3 linked regions of the Drosophila melanogaster genome follow. The protein of the gene in region 3 interacts with the protein of the main gene of each other region in a pairwise test. Each region holds a gene or a part of one and is shown on either strand. Other genes may lie near its edges.

Region 1 (5,406 bases), on a different chromosome or scaffold from region 3:
GTAACAAATATAACTTCCATATGAGTATTTTTCGTATTACCTTTAGTAGAATAAAGATTATCGTATAATTAAAACGCATTGTTTATAAAAAAAAAACAGTGATCTGCTTCGATCACCGACTTAAACAATTGGATATTGTTAACAAAAAGCAAAAAAAAAAAAAATGCAAAAAAAGAGTTTGATGTTTTCTCCGCACTGTTGCATACTTATTCAGTATTCTGAGAACAGATGTCCTTTTACAAGATTAGTACTCACGGCAAAATAAAAGCTCAAAAACGGTACCTACGGGTACGTACCAAGGTAAATTAGTTGAGTACTTTTTACCTTACCTATGTAAATAAATAAATTAATACATTTTACCCTTCCTAGGCACGGATTTTGATTTTCACCGCGTACTCGTCGTGATTTTAAATTATTGAAATCGTTTCTAGATTTGGATTACTTTTTTATCCCCGTTTACGTATACGTAATATATTTAGATTTCAGGAATCGTAAATTAACAGGTATGAATTGAAATAAAAATAACTTTTACTTACCACCGCTTTATGATTATGTACACTTTTTAGCTTCTTGCTCAAATAAATTATTTAATTATATTTCCTTCCTTTGGCCGATATATTGAGAAATGCTATTTTTAATTTCACTTTTAACTCAGGTATGTATTAATGTACGCCCGAGTGTATAAAAACACAAAATGTAACCGTTTTAATCACCGGCGAAGGTAGAAAACGAAATGGAATTTAAAGCAAACGGGCGGAGAAGTAAAGCAGAACAAAAATGTTCGTTTTCGCCATTTTCTTTTTTTGGTCCACTTTTCAGGTGTATTTCATTTTGAAATTTATAGCAATACATTTTATATATATATTCGCAAAAAGTATTAAGCATACAAAAGTGGTTGTCGGGTTTTAATAAATAAGCAAGCATTATAAATATGAACTCTATATAACCGCGCTCAAATTTAAAACACAAATCAAACCGATATGCTCACTTACGCACACACACATATGTATGTACTTCTCCGCGGAAACGTGTGTGCGTGAACTATATAACCGCGCTCAAATTTAAAAAGCAGATCAAGCCGAGCTGCTTACTTACACACACACACATAAGTATGTACATATGTACTTCTCGGCACAAACGCGTGTGCGTGTAAATCACATAATTAAATCGTTTAAAGAAAAGTAATGAGTTAAAATGCGTTTAGCAGTGTGCGATCACTCATTGATTATCATTTTAACAAACTTTCAGTACTTTTTAATACCGAAAAACATTAAAACTGATTTAATTCATTTTGGCACGCCGAACCGCCATTTTTTCTATTACCGATGCTCGCGAAGGAAGAAAACGAACTGAACGAGGATAGGAGCTTTCAGATCGGACTTGAGCATGAGAGCGGCCAAGAAGAAGAGTGGTCCTAGATTAACAAAATGACCCATTTTCGCTTTAAAAACTATGAATTTCAAAGTCAGCTTTTAAACAAATTTGAAATGTAACGTAATTAATTCAGAGTGACCGCAAAAAACTAAAACACCTTATCGCTATAGCATGCAATCGAAAAGACGACTACTTTGTTAACTCTTAGGTCCATATCGATAGCCAAGCGCATGGACGCGATATATCGATACAATCGGTCAGTGGTTAAGACAGCTCTACTGCATATTATTTTGTTTTCTTTTAACGTTAACATTTCATTTAAATATTATTTTAGTTTGTAACACTCCCGCAAATAACTATAAAGTGAGTGCTAGTGTGGAAAGAGAAACATTTATTATTTTTCCAAAATAATTGCTGAATTTAAAGCGGGTGGGGAAATCGGACAGAGTTGAAACGAGAGAACGCTCTACATTCTCTATTATCAATGCTACCATAGACCATGTACCGGCGCACTTGTTAAAATGACTCTGACTTCACCTTGACTAAAGTACACATAATGTACACACATTGCAGTGGTAGAGATGGCGAATCGGGATGATAACAGTTACTGATTTTATTTTCCAGTTTTCACCCCATATCGCTCTATATACATATATACTCGCCAGATCCTACATAAATCGAAAATGCTTAAGCTACGTAATCTATTGGCCGTCGGCAAAAGCAACAACAACGCTGTCCGGTAAGAAAAACAACATGAATATACTATAAAAAATGAACACAAAAATTGCCCACAGCTGAGTCCATTTACATATTTGATCAGTGTTGCCGAGTAGGCACAGGTACCTGTACCTGGATATCAGCTTGTGGCACTTATTAATTGCCCAGATTCGTGGAATCCAAATGAAATATAGGCAATGAATATATACTCGTATATTCAAATTTTTTAGATTGAAATAACAAAATTAATTCTTAATTCTTACTTATTTATATATAAATAACAGTATTTATAAGGATCTTAAAATAATGATATTTAATGGTATTCATATTCAATTTTCCTCCAGCCTAGGGGTTCATTTTTATTAACATTATGTTTTTCAACTACTAGTCATTTTAAGTCTTTTAGATTAAATATATTATTCACGAATTCCCTAAACTCATGTTATTAAATTTACGCAGAGTAGTTGTTGCTTACTCATTTTCCAAGCCGTCATACTTAGCATTAAGAGTACCTACCAGGTACCGTCCTTGTAGGTACACAAATCGCGTACCCTTTCCAGCACTAGCATTCACACTCCTACACGTTAATATGTATGTTTGGTTCCAATTTCGTACGTATACATCCATACATAAATGAAAATGCCGTTGCGACGTCAGCAAAGCAAAAACGTATACAAAAACAAAATAAACACGACGGTGCGAATTTTAGTTACCCTTCATGTATGAAATGCCGTACTATATATGCATTTTGTATTTTTAAGTTATGAATACATTTGCCCCTGGAAAATTCGAAAAAGTTAATAATACGCAGGGGTAGCTTTTCTTAATTTGTAAGTTCAGTGTAAAGGAAATAGCGTTCTCCTTATTTATCTATTTTTTGCCCACGGTCCAATTCAATTGGCCTACTTATAGCTAATATTGATAAGTGGCCTTCCAAAAATTGAATATTATATCTTCGATCTGAAAGATAGACTTATTAAAAACGTTATCTAGAGAGTTTGGACTTAGAACATATCATTTAAAAATGTATTTTTAGGTATTACCAATATATCTTACCTTATACAGAATACAATTAAGATATTGTAAGTTTATTTTGTAATTGTTTATTATGCCAACCTTTTTAAATTACCCATTATTGATACTTTTAGCTCTCTGTCCACCACTCCGAGCCGCAACGATTCAGAATCATGGTTCTCAAAACTGCTCGTTCGGAAAATAGAACCAACCAAGGAGTCGCACAGTCGAATGCTCAGCGATAAGGAAATCATATATGCCCTTCATACCCACAACGTCAGGCCCGATTCCATGGGCAGCTACTTAAATAACTAGTAAGTGACTGAAATTTAACGTCCTTAAAAGGTGCCTAAAAGAACTAAATAGGTGCAGAGTACTCAAAGCTAAAGAATAAACATTGAAAGCGTTGTCCATTTTCGATAGCATACTTTCAAACACATTTCCGGGTGGTTTTAAATCCCGAAAGTAGCATAGATTGTTAAAAGTACCCTTACCTTTTACAGCAAAACTACTGTCGCTTTGATCAACGAGAAGAAGGCAAACCTTTCCTGCGAATTGGTGGCATCATGGACGGTTCAAGTGGGCGACATGGATCAGTGCCTGCACCTGTGGAAGTACACAGGAGGCTTCGAGAAGATAGATCAGGCCAAAGAAGACCTTTGGAACGATCCCGAGTATCTTAGCTTGATGCAGGAGCGTTCCAAGTTCTTGCGCTCCCGTCATCTGCAATATCTCTTGGCATTCAGCTACTGGCCGCAAATTGCCAGTCGTACCGGCAAGAACATTTACGAAATGCGGTATGTTGCAGAGTATTTTCAATTCAAAAATGCATAGCTAAATTAACCCAATTGTCTCAGCTCATACCGACTGACACCTGGCACCATGATTGAGTGGGGAAACAACTGGGCCCGCGCCATCAACTATCGCAAGCACAACAACGAAGCATTCGCCGGATTCTTCTCGCAGATCGGAAGACTGTACAATGTTCATCACATTTGGTGTAAGTGATAGATAGTATAATTAAAAGATTTGAGTAATTTGAGTTTCATTGCCAAATACGTTTAGAATGGTTTAAAGGATATTTTAAGCCACTAGCAATTTTTGAAGCCATATTTTTATATAAGCTGTAAAGCAAACATTAATATTTGCTCTTCTTTTCAAAATAGGTTACAAATCTCTGCAAGACCGTAAGGAGACCCGGGAAGCAGCCTGGCGATCCCCCGGATGGGATGAGTGTGTGGCCTACACGGTGCCATTAATCCGCGAGATGCACTGCCGTGTCCTGGCGCCCACTGAGTTCTCGCCCTCACAATAATTAGCACTGGGTGTTGCACTTTCTAGCGTTCTGAGAAATTGAAGTTCATCGACGATTGGACAAATTAGCTGTGAAAACACCGAGAACGCATCTTCGCCTATTTTCCTGTTGAATAGTTATTGTAAATAATGCCAGCTACATATGCAATCATTTAATTTTTTTTTTAAGTATAATTAAGGTCAAAGTGGAAATTTCTATCCAACATTTTTACGAACCTCTATGTGTGTATCGCCTACGACCTTTGAATTTAACAAAACCAATTTTGTTTTTATAAAATAAAGCAATTATGAAACTGTTATAAGTTAGTTTTTAAAACAGATCCCAAAATATAGTAAATGGTATTGGATATTAATTGAAACATCTCTAATAAAATGCAGAACCACCCAATTCCGTAATTACAAACAGCAAAATAATAGGTGATGAAAAAGTAGTATACCGCATAAAGTTTTAATCAGATCGTTGTTTTCTTGAAAAAACTTGTTATCCTGTGAATTAGTGGTATAACATAATAATAACGTATGATACATTTGATTTGCCTGCTTAGTTGCTCAAACTTAATTAATGCACATATTCTATGAACTTTTAAAAGTCACAGAAAATTAAACGAAATATTTTGCTATCCCCGCCAGTTTCTTAACTCTTTAAGAGGCATCATATAACATGTGTGCGATATTTCAACATCATCACTAAATTAACTAGAAAAAAAGTTCGAGAAACTTTTTTTTTTAAACCATTGGGTTTTTGGCTCTTAGGAATCTGGAATTGTTATTATGTCATCTTTTTGCCTAATTAATTCAATTCTAAACAAATTTTTAAGAATATTTGTCCAAACAAATTTAAAGTCTTATACACCGTAGGCACTATAACAAAAATATGTAATGAAATCACCTTCTGATTCTCAACTTTAAAACTAAAACCGTTGTTTAGAACCAGCCAATCTCGTTTATACCTAATATTATTGGTTAATTGTTTGTGAAAATCGAATG
Region 2 (3,738 bases), on a different chromosome or scaffold from region 3:
CACGGGAATGCCCAGAAATCCGGCATCTATGACCATCCGCACATATTTCATACATTCTCCGGGCTTAATACGCTTCTGTTGTTCGCGTAAAGCCTGCTTGTGCAGCTTGTCCACTTTATTTGACATTGTGTACAAAAGTCCGCCAAATATTCTATACAAATATGCTTAGAGATGGAAGTGAATCGATAACAAGCGATCTAGCTACGAAAATCTAGCTAACATTTATTCCACGGTTCGAGGCTTGACTATTCTCTTAAGTTGGATTATTTAGTGCTTATTTTTTTTTAAAGCCTGGTAGCACCTTGCAACGCACGCCACACGTGTTTTATTTTCTGCTTCTTTGACTACAGAAAAACAATCCAAAAACTGCAAAAATGTATCTGATGTACACAATTAACGAAAACGGCGATCGCGTTTACACCCTGAAGGTATATTATTATCAAAACCCTATATATATATTACCCAACTAAGTCACCACTTGTTGCTCTTCTAGAAACGCACCGAGGATGGTCGTCCCACACTATCTGCTCATCCAGCACGTTTTTCACCGGAGGATAAGTACTCCCGCCAGAGGCTGACCATCAAGAAGCGCTTTGGACTGCTGCTCACCCAGAAGCCGGAGCCCATTTACTAAGCCGCATTTTAGTTTTAATTAGTGTACATCTTTATTTACAAATAATAAGCTACAAAACAACAAAACTTGCCCTTTAAATGCGACGCTTGAGGCCCGCCGTGTAATCGAATAACTCGCCATTCCGAAACTCGCCACGCATATCCAGGACGTAATACAGTGTCTTGCCCTTCACCTTAATGGGTAGCTGCACCCTGGCCATGTTCCGTGATTCCTCGGCGGAGACGCACTTTAATGGCACGGTCATAATGCGATTCCGGTTGAAGGGACCGTAGGTCACAAAGGAAACGCTCTGACCACCCTTTCTCAAGATAAGAAAACGCACCGATCGCAGGGTAAACATCCAGACAGCAAACAGTATGCCATATCCTAAAATGTTGGTTGAGTTTTATTTTCGGCTTGCCGAGAACGTAGTAAACCACTCTTACCTATCAGAAAGCTACAGGCTGTAATGCCATTTCTGTACTTATTATCGCCCAGATTTATGCGCTGGAACCACTTCAGCTCCTCTCCGGGTTTTTCCACCACTGGAGCATCCTTAAGCGTCGTGAAGGCGAAGTGCGAGAGATATGTCCAGAAAACAAACTGACACACCCCGAAAAAGTTAAGCATCTGGTAGAATCGGGGGTTTTCATACTTGAAAAGTATTATGTCCTTGGGGACACTGGTGTTCACATCGAAGGGGGCGGCTTGGGAGGAGAATCTCTTTATCGTGGAAGTAACCGGCGTTTTTGTTACAATGGCCGGAGCTGCCAGTCTGAAACTCTGGAGGCTAAGGCGCTTGATGGAGTTGACGCCCTGCCGCAGGGCAAAATTCAGCAGATTGCTCATCTTAATTGAATAATTCCCGCATTTGTTATTATAAAACAAATTAACCTATAATCTACAGATGTTTTTGTTTTGTTCCGTTTGCTATTGGTTCACTAGCTCCGGAACTGGAACTAGTTCAACAAAGCAGCCATCAGGGCTGGCACATGCTGACTCCGTTCACTAGTTCACCCATTGGAACAATTAACGAAAATAACACGATTTTTGCAATGTTCACCGTTGTATTTCATGAGAACGTCACATTACTTAAACGGGCCGAAAACATTTGTCAATATGATTCAGTTTTAAGCAAAAGAAGGGACAGGGGAGATCACGTCTTAGTTCCAACTGGCACTTAATAGTTCTGCTCCCATAAATAAAACGTTTAGCTATACAGCCCTAGTAACAACATATGATTTTGTTTGGTTCCAAACTAGGGATGTACACGTGCATGAACTGCATAACGTTTTTTATTTTTGTATATAAATACTATAGAAATGCTGCTTCTCCTCAGCTATTAAATATACATCCTTTTATAATATTACTATCGTAATGAGAAGGTAACCAGTTTAAGTTATATCTGGTCATCATGTTAATAATAATAATAATAATAATAATACAAATTGCGTAAAAATGCAAAGTTGAATATAAGATAAAATAAGTTTTGCCAAAATCCAACCTAAATAAATACAAAAATAATAAGTATTGTTAGAAACGTCCATAAAAAATGTCTTCTCGATGCGTATCAGAAATCGGCATCCGGAATCACGCGCCAATCTCTATTCCAAGTGCCGCTAGCTTGCAATCTGGGCGCTGCTCTTCGGAACCAGTTGTGCATAGACTGGTTCTTTTCGGCACCTTCTGTTGTTGTGCGATTTTAGTCTGTGTTTCAGTCTTCGTCGTTTAAGGGCATCGGAAGTGGAGTTGCCTGCGAATTGTAAACAAATCACGGAGAAGCTGTTAAATTCATTCAAATCATTGACATTTGATAGTTGCCGTTAGACCACAAGTCATATTTCAATAGTTTTCGGTAATATATAAGTTAATAAACGAGTTTGTCGTGTCGTAGAAAGGTAAGTGTAGTTTTTTTTATCCATTTTATGTTATATTTATAATTTTCTTTATAAAAATACCCTGTAATATAATGGTCCAATCGAATGGTACATTTGGGATTTGCATTTTTTTTACTGGGTTTTGAAGTTTTTTTTTATTTGGACTGGGTACGGGTACCATACGCCAGATATGGTACGAGTCTCTTTAAAGACATTTGTGTTTTCAGGGTTGTCAAGTGACCGCGATTTGCAAATCAGGCGAAATCTGATATATATCTGGATTTGTTACTATGCTATATTTTAGACTAGACTACCGACGTGTAGGCAAGACTATATACCGCAATGCCATTGCAATAGGACAAAAAATGACCTGCCGGTGGCAACCCTGCGCGACATCATGGTCTCAATTATACATTTAAAGACATTTGATTTGCGTCTAATCGGACACATCGAGGTTTTATATTATATTCATGATAAACATAATGCATACCTGGCAACCCTAAAAACATAAAATTGTACAATAGGTGAATAAAAACGCCGCCCGTTTTGCTTTTGCTTCTGCTTGCAACCTGCTCGTTTTAGGTTTTTCGGGGTTTAGTCTTTATCGAACGTCTGATACCAGAAACATGCAGAGGGCGCCGAGGGGATTTCAAAAATGTCCTTGCTTTCGTAAAGCATGCAAAAACTTGGATGTTTTTCGATCTAACCTCACTCTGCATCAAAATCGATACGTAACCTAAAAAGAATGTAAATGCGTTGCAAAATCGCACAAATACACGTTCTGATATACATACACGCTCACACCGATGTGCCGTTGCTACAACGAACTTAACTGGTGTGTGTGCGCGTGTTAGAGCGGGACAGCTATAATAGACATATAGCCCAAAATTGGCTTAAATACAAGACCGAACTTTAAAGACGATAAATTGGCCATATATACTTTAAGTTGCAAAAATACGACACCTAAACATGTTTGTTATCTACATTTGTGTGTATAAGCAACGGTTTTAATGGACCTAAGCATCTTGAAAAAAGTATTGCCATCAGAGCAAGTCGAAATTTAATGATCCAATGTCACTAGCTTCTAGGATCAATTTCTTTAATAGAGCTGATATCGAAGGTTTTAGCATTTCATCTACAAAAACAACGACTTTACGCCTCTATTTTTGTTTGCCCGGTGTTGTAGTTGTTGCTTTCGGCTTGCTGCTGTATCTTTGTCGTGCTGTGTTTGGCGCTACGCGAACTTTA
Region 3 (8,097 bases):
TCTGGTGCTGAGACATGCCCTATTCATGCTCAATCCCAAGCAGTTTGAGTATCCGCCAAACGCCTTCACGTGTGTGTCCTTTGCCAACAGTTCCGCGGACAAGGATGTGCCCCCTCCTGCGGGACAACGCCCGCGCACCAATTCAGAAAACTCTTCGATGGCCACTAGTGGTAGCCAGATCGATCGGCAGATCACCTTCATGCAGGAGCGCAATGCGGCGGATTCTTCTGCTCTGGCCAAATTGCAAGATACCCATCGAGTTGCAATGGATGGATACTTGGAGAATGTGAGTGTGCTTTAATATATGAATGTCGTATACGTGTTTCTGTTACCATATTTAACCGTTTATTAAATTATATTTAATTATAACAAAACAAAACTACTTAAATCTAAGCCAATCTTTTGTACATATTTTCTAAGTAGGGTTTTAGTGAGTCAATTCTTAAATACTTTAAAATTTATAACGTAACATTTACTTTCATGATTTTATTACAAAGACCTGTTCCTAAGAAATATTTGTATTGGCCCTTGCAGAGTCCAGAGCTACTCCGATTGGAGCTGAAGAATGCCCAAACTGTAATCAAGATAGCGCGAAGCAAGTTGCAGAGCTACCTGAGCACTGTGCGCCATCATGTGGGAAAGCAGGCGAATGGTAGCGAAGAACTCGGTCGGACACTGGACGGGATTGAAGAGCTATGCAGCTTTCTGGACGTTAAATTCATGTTCCCGCTGCACCAGCGATCGGCGCCCATCGACCAGGCTCTGGAGGCCAACGAGCAGAAGCAGCTAAACACTGTCAGCAAACCGCCAAAGCCAACGGCTTCCTCCACTCCCGCTAACGCACCGGCTGCTCTCTCTGCGACTGGTGGCTATCAGATGCCTGAGAACGCCTTTATGCACAGCTCGATGCGACGGCTCCTCGGGGAACTGCGTGAAATCGAGCTGTCCACGATAACGAGCGATGAGAAACCTGGAAACGCGGTGGTGCAAAACGGATTGCCAGCTGCGGAGCCTCAGCAACGGCATCGAAACGAATCGAGTTGATCGTAAGGTCCACTCCTAACGACTGAAACTGAATTTAGACTTAAACAGAGCAGCCACAAAGTGGATAAACCGGAATTAGTAAGGATTATAATTAAAAGACATAAAGTTTACTATATTTTGGACTTGAATAAGTCCATAGTTTGTAATTTTCTCCATGAAAAATAAAAATTTTTCGGGTATTGGAATGGTTTCGAAACAAATCGTCTTCAAAACATGCAAGTTTCGGAAGCAACAGGTTCGTAGTTCGTTGAAGGAGTAGTGTTCTATGTGATATCTTGGAAGAAGCTCCATCGTTTGTGTATTCTAAATTTTGAACAATTGCTTGCAAGTATTCATCATTAACGTAAAGTATATCTGATTGAGTCGAATTTAAATAATGACAGTGATAAAGTCTTAAGTTACGTTTGATTCATATTTCCTAGGAGCTCTATGGCCTGCGGTTATGGTTCACCATTGTCCGAAATGTTGTGATTTGACAACCGTTGCTGCTGGGACCACCACGCATTATTGGAGTCGAGGACGTTATGCTTGCCTGTGCCTGCTGCGGCTGTTGCATCTGAGGCGTATTAGTAACGGTGATCTTGGAACTGTTGTTATTGTTAACCCGTATCTGCCTGATCATGGCCAACGTGTTACCATTGCTAAGGTCCGCCTGTGGGGTGGATGGTGCTTCCGAAGTGCCACCTTGACTGAGTCGTCCGTTCACGTTGGTCCGACTCTGTGTTGTTAGTTTGTCAAGAGGTACACAACGCACGGAATCCGTCTCGAGGCGGTTGGTCACTTGCGTTTGGTTGGAAGTTAAGATACGGCGTATATTCTCTGGCAGGTCTTTGGCGCTCCCATTGATGGTCACTTGGGCAGAGGAAGCCCCGGTAACTGGCTCTTTCGGTACGGTTTCCTTGTCGTTATTATTGTTCTGCCCATTATTGTATTCATGCGGTGTTGTGACAACCGAGGAATGCAAATCTGCATCGACAGAAGCAAGGGGAGCTGAAATAGGAGCAGGAGGAGTTTTAACTGGGGTCACCGTAGTTGAAGAAGGCCATTTCGAGGAAGCAGAAACTGTAGCTGGGGTTGGAGTTGTCGCATTTCTCTGCATGGCTCGAAGCTCCAAGCTACAAACGAGCTGCATGATTTTCGACTTGCCCTCTGCGGCTAAATCCGGCGGCAGGGACTTCATGGTCGGCGAAATGCTGTCAAAGAAGAGATCCATTACATGTCGTGGCTCCGGTGGCTTAATCGGTGACACTGTCACCGATGGCGGCGCCTGGGCCATAGACTCGTTATGTGCGACCGACTCCCGTTCCAAAGTTCGCAAGCGTGTAACAATATCAAACGACGAGCATATCATGTCCCTGGCCATGTCCATTTGGGAGCGTTCTTCCTGTCGCTTGCCCATTGAGTCGCGAAGGGCGCGTATTATGCGACGAACCTCCATTGAGCGTCGGGACCGCTTCGCCAGCGGTTCCGCTGTGCTGCCATCGGATCTAAGTAGCCATAATGAGTGTGGTTATTAGAAACGCTTAATGAAGGGATTTCGAATTCTAAACTCACCGAACGCTCATATCGTTTTCGCTCTCCTTGTCCATTCCAGACTCCTGCCTTTCCGCATCAACGGTGGAAGTGGGACTAACTGATGGTGCATTGGCGGCAGCGGCGGCATTGGCCCTTTGCCGCTCCTTATTTTCGACGTGCTTACGCGAAGCGTCGTGTTGCCGCAGGTAAAATACCTTGATCGGCAGCCGGCTATCACAAACACGGCAGTGACAGTGATTCTCGTCATTGGCATCAGGATCCAGCCAGTCGTACTTCGCTTGCAGCTCTGCCATAGCCGCTTTCTGTCTAGCCTCGGCGCTGGCCAAAGCCGAAGCTGTGGCCACAACAGTGGATATTTCACCTGAGTTTTTGTTCGATGTTTTCAAAGGGTTGCCACCATTGCGCTTTCGATCAATGCGGAGGCGTATGTGTCGGGAAGTCCTCTGGTGCTTGGAGGCCCACTTGGATGAGGGCAGGTAGAGAGACACTTCGCACAGCTTGCACCAAGCATAGTTTCCACGCTGCTCGTTCTTTTTGTAGGAGAGCCACGGGAAGCGGCCCTTCCACACCATAACCTTGCCCTTCATGGTTGCCGGAATGGGCTTGACAAAAAGCTTATTGTCCGCTCGAGCAGTCTTTCTTGCCTGCACGGTGCCCAAGTCGAAGTTGCTTTGGGAATCTTCTTCTGCGTCCTCCTCTTCTTCTCCATATTCCTCGTCCTGTTCCTGTGATTCTTCATCATCCTGCGCATTATGTTTAGTTTGCGTGTTTGTGCCCTGGTGCAGTTTCGCTTGCCGCATTTTGAACTGCTTTACCAGCTTTACATGCCGGGCACTCAACTCATGCCGCGCCTTTGCCGCTTCGTTGTGAAAGCGCACGCGGCAGAATTTGCAAATCTGAGTCTTTCGGTCCTTGGAGTAGCAAAGCCACGGGTAAAAACGTACCCCAGCGCGAACCGTGGCCTTTCTTGGCTCGCTAGAGGACTTATGAGCAAAACTATACGAAATTATTATTATTAAAGTAAAAATTAAAAATATTTTAAGCAACATACCCTTTTCCGAGTTTTTGGATCTCGGACCAATTGTCATCGTCATTATCTTCGCTGTCATCGGTCTGCGATGACTGGGCTTGATCACTTGCCGCCGCTTCCTCTTCATCCATGTTATCGCCGCCTCTGCCGTCAGCCGAACCAACTTCGATGCCTGCCTTGGCGCTGGCCAAAGCCAAGGTATGCTTCTCGGATTTTTCGTGATTCTTGCGCTTGATCTCTGAGTTTCCATACATGAATCGCTTGCGACAGACGCTGCAGTACCCAATGCTGGGGTCTTCGGGATCAGCAATCAACCAAGGATGCATGTCGGCGAACACGGCCCAAATGCCGCGAATATCTGAAGAGCTGAGGTAAAAAAGTGAAAGCAGTTAAAGAACAGGTGCTATTTACGTTCTGTAGGAGTGTCAACTCACCCCTTTTCAGCGGGTGTCGATAGCATGTGACAATGAGCTCTGGTTTTACAGTGCCGTAGGAAGCTGGTAATCGCCATTGTGCAGTTGCAGAGCGTACATCGGCATTGCTGTGGATTGGTGTCCGGAATCAGTGCACACCACTTGCCAGGGTCGTCGCCTGAGTCCACATCGCCGTTCATCATAACCACAGGGGTGTCCTGAGCATCCTCCGGCCCAACTTCTGGTTCAGATTCCTTCTCTCGCTCGGCCTCATCCCCGCCGCTATTGGTCACGCTGTTGCTCTTGCTCCTCTTTCGCTTCCGACTCCGCTTATCGGAATCTAGGTTGCGCAGTGCCTCCATGTGACCTTTGGTGGTTTCGTGGCGCTTGCGCAAATAGACAAACTCCACGTTCATTCGCACGCTGCAGATGCGACATGTCCCGATGGTCCCTGTGGGCATGGAACGTTCAAGCCAAGGATGCCAACGGAGCCAACGCAGCCAGTTGAAGTTGTTAAATGCCTCGGTCTCGGAGATTCGTTTTTGCTTCATGGCGGCCACATAGCTCTTGGTGCCGAATTCGTGCTTGATTTCGTTGTCGCTGATTCTACGGATAATTGGGAGTTAATAAGTGTTCGCAAACTTTCGGTGATCTCAATATGATTTCGGTATTTCGTTTTTTAAAGGTGCAAATCTTACTAACATTACGAGTAGAGCTACCCTCATTGAAAGCAGGGAGTGTAATATATGTAAAATCTATTCTGAACCGCGACCAAGCCTATCATACACCAGTTTCTTTGTGTCAAACAATTGCTACACGTTGGAAAATTAATGCGGACTCGGAGCAGTGCTCCCTTCATTAAGTTGGCAGTTTTTTTCACACTACAGTGGGCTTTCTGGATTTCGGTACAAACCCTTTACAAAGTGAAAGGCATTTGAAGAGTTGAGCTTTTACTTTATACGGCGGATTAATTAACTTGATTTCTCCGAATTTTAGATTTCTGTACTCTTTTTTGTAATCTTTAAAACTGTGACACTTACGCTCCTCGAGTTTCCTCCTCACTTTTCTTGAATGCCAGATAGTTGCACTCGCGTTCCTGGTGGGAGAGCGACACGTTGTGCTGTTGGATGTGTCTAGAGCGGTTGTTCACGTTAATGGATATGTTGCAGTAAAGGCAGAACGCTAAGGTGCCATCGGAGTCCTCGTGTAGGATCCAGGGCCAACGCTTCATCCAGAGGAGCCAGCGCTGTGCGCGGGGCATCTTGCGGCGCATGCCTCCGTCAACGCCACCGCCATTGCTGCTTTCGTCATCCTCGTCGTCGTCATCCTGGCTGTCTCCCGGATCATGGATTTCAATCCTCTCCAGCAGGCCCATGGGATCGTGGTACGAATGGGAGCTCTCCGCATCGCTGGAGGGTTCAGTTTTAGTGGACATGGCATCGGGTTCACGTTCCTGGTCTTCCAGGAGGGGATCCTCGCTGGCCTGTTTGTCGTCTGGGTTATTTAGAGCGGACTGTAGCTCGGCCACCAATGGAGCATGTTCGTCATCCATGATGTCCTCAATACACGGGTCATCCCGCATCGGGTGCTTGTCCTCCTCCACCACCATGGCCACATCCCCATCGTCATCATCCACCACGATGACCATGGAGGTCTCCACTTCCTCGATGTGATCCGGATCCACCAGAGCACCACCCTCTACGTCCATAATTTTCAGCTCGTGCGTTGCCGACGCTAAAGTTTCTGAATTTGCAGACGCCATTTTGAGGTCTGGGTTGCATTGAGCATCTAGGTTTTTCGCCTGCATGCTCGAATCCCGATCCATCACGAGATACTGGTTATCCAGGCACTTTGCTCTAATATTTGTTAGCTTTTGGGAGATCACAGTATACGGTTATAAACTAAAAAAATAAAAATAATCGCAAGCGAAAACTCAGAATCGCTGTCAAGGCGATGGCCAATGTGACCGTACTGTTGCATTAAACCGGCGGGCTAAGGACCATATACTAAGGAAGTTCAAAAAATACATAAAATGCAACTGAGGGACTGGACTGGTCACTTTATTGAGAACGGTCTTAAAACGTACTGTTCATAGTATAACTGCAATTATTTATTTAATAACTACATGAACATTATGCTTAGAAAGCATATAAAGAAATTACATGCATTAGCATATGATTCATATATCGTTGAATATTTAAAATAAAGTGTGTAGAAACAAACAACCGGTGTGGGTGACAACTCTTACAGCATGTGCAAAACGGGTTATGCGGTATTTCTATGCATGTGCGCACGGTCATACCTCACTGGATTTTGTTTATATTTTGGAAAAGACTACCCAAATGTCAAACCTCCAGTTAACTCAGGAAAAACTGTGAGTATACCAAAGTAAGAGACCAGGGTCTTATGTTCACTGACTATATTCGCCGCCCAGAGATGCCCTACGCTCCGAATACAGGCCACGCCGGCCGTGCGCCCTGCTGAAATATCCTCGACCCAAGACAAAGCCGGAGTACCAGGCGATATATCCGTGGTTGCTCCCGGATGAGACGGATCCGCACTTCGTGTTCTGCGCGGTGTGCGAGTGCAGGCTCAGCTGCAAGAGATCTGATCTGGGAAAGCACGAGGGTAGCATTAAGCACTCGGAAAATGCACAAAGAAAATCATTGCCAGCCAAGGCAAACAATTCGAGCTTCAATGGATCCAGCTCCGGTGCGATGAAGTGGGAGGATACCGAGGACGAGGAGGGTCTACTACAATACGGAACAGATCCCCAAGACGACGAGACAGAAGATGAGGAGGAGGGAGAACTTGACGAAACAGAGGGCGACTGCGAGGACGATGAGAAGCGGACTCAAGAACTGGAAGCACAAAATGATCTCGAAACGGAGCCCGTCATTAAGCAGCAGCGCCGCACTTCGGAGACCGACTCACAGAATTCTGGCATGCTGGATTATCTGCCACTACACGTGACCATCAACGAGGGGCCTCAAAGTCTTCCGACCACTGTCTCCGCCTATCCCACATCCTCAGCAACAGCAACAGTAGCTCCGCCATGCAGGATCACCATTAAAAAAGTTCCAGTGCACAGTACTCCACTCAGTGGGATGTGCCAAGCTCAGGAGATCAATTCCAAGGCCACCATAACGCCTATACACACGACGCCCTCCTATGCTGCCCGCCCGCTGCAATCTTATCAACTGCAACCATTGTCACCTATAACGCCACCGCGCGACTCATTGGAGCTGTTCTTCGACAGCATATGTGCCACCGTCAAGAACTTGCCGCCCAAACTGGCCACCGAGGGTAAGATCCGGGTAATGCAGCTCATTGGGGAGCTCGAGTTGCGTGCTCTTTGCGAACAGGAGGCGCTCTCTGAGGTCGCCGGACTTCCGGATCTCGCGGGAAACTCCAGGTCTGGAGCAGCTGAAGCCTCAGGCAGTGGTCAGCAGAATGCGACAGTGGCTTCTACCACCAAATAAATTCACCTGGACTTTGGAATCGGTTCCAAACCGTGCTCAATACGGCAATTAGAATATATGCTAGTGCTTTCATTTTTTAATTTTGTTAACTGATTTTCATTAATAAAGTTATTTATTAGTTGTTGTAGTGTGGCGTGCATTTATTCTTTAAATCTATCTGATGGTGTTTTTGTTCTATGAAATGGCTTCATTACATTTCATCCGTTTAGAAATTTAAGTGCCCAATAAATGGGCTCATTAAGGTATTAGGTTCGCTTTAATATTTCACTAACTGCATTTCAAAAAGTGTTTTCCTGACCTTGGTTTGCCAGCAAAGTATAAATTGTGAATTTTCTCAGAGAATGATATCACGGAAGAGCTGTAATCAATGGAAACCACTTCTTGTGTGTGGGTAACAATTGTGATTTACTTATTGTGAATGATACAAAGCGAATTCTCTGAAGGGTAAATATTACGCATGTACAATACCATGTGATAAAAAGTTTATCGCATGATAGTTTAATGTATGTTCTGTAGGTAAAGATAGTAAAAATCACTCCATCAGGCGAATTTATCAACTGTAACGAACAAACAACATGTAATATCAGATTGA

Evidence for each region.
Region 1: the proteins of Su(var)3-7 (region 3) and Nipsnap interact in a two-hybrid assay, tested with the Drosophila melanogaster proteins (one large-scale study listed by BioGRID).
Region 2: the proteins of Su(var)3-7 (region 3) and CG12935 interact in a two-hybrid assay, tested with the Drosophila melanogaster proteins (one large-scale study listed by BioGRID).

Annotation. Positions count from the first base shown.
Region 1 is NC_004354.4:16,069,734-16,075,139, reverse strand, and holds Nipsnap (nipsnap), read left to right. Parts: upstream 1-1,571; 5' UTR 1,572-1,630; exon of another isoform or gene 1,631-1,708; 5' UTR 1,709-1,737; intron 1,738-1,857; exon of another isoform or gene 1,858-2,039; 5' UTR 2,040-2,057; coding exon 2,058-2,113; intron 2,114-3,239; coding exon 3,240-3,419; intron 3,420-3,608; coding exon 3,609-3,902; intron 3,903-3,962; coding exon 3,963-4,105; intron 4,106-4,271; coding exon 4,272-4,420; 3' UTR 4,421-4,775; downstream 4,776-5,406.
Region 2 is NT_033778.4:10,807,513-10,811,250, reverse strand, and holds CG12935 (uncharacterized protein), read right to left. Parts: upstream 1,855-3,738; 5' UTR 1,463-1,854; coding exon 1,060-1,462; intron 1,001-1,059; coding exon 708-1,000; 3' UTR 635-707; downstream 1-634. Other genes in the region: mms4 (methyl methanesulfonate sensitivity 4), read right to left, coding at 1-126; Nop10 ribonucleoprotein, read left to right, coding at 375-428, 494-634.
Region 3 is NT_033777.3:13,262,267-13,270,363, reverse strand, and holds Su(var)3-7 (suppressor of variegation 3-7), read right to left. Parts: upstream 6,001-8,097; 5' UTR 5,849-6,000; coding exon 5,064-5,848; intron 4,630-5,063; coding exon 4,045-4,629; intron 3,977-4,044; coding exon 3,632-3,976; intron 3,577-3,631; coding exon 2,599-3,576; intron 2,532-2,598; coding exon 1,472-2,531; 3' UTR 1,045-1,471; coding exon of another isoform or gene 535-1,044; 3' UTR 326-534; downstream 1-325. Other genes in the region: TBC1D5 (TBC1 domain family member 5), read left to right, coding at 1-286, 535-1,044; ravus, read left to right, coding at 6,366-6,397, 6,458-7,505. UniProt on the Drosophila melanogaster protein: Dose-limiting factor in position-effect variegation, the inactivation in some cells of a gene translocated next to heterochromatin. It could play a role in chromosome condensation.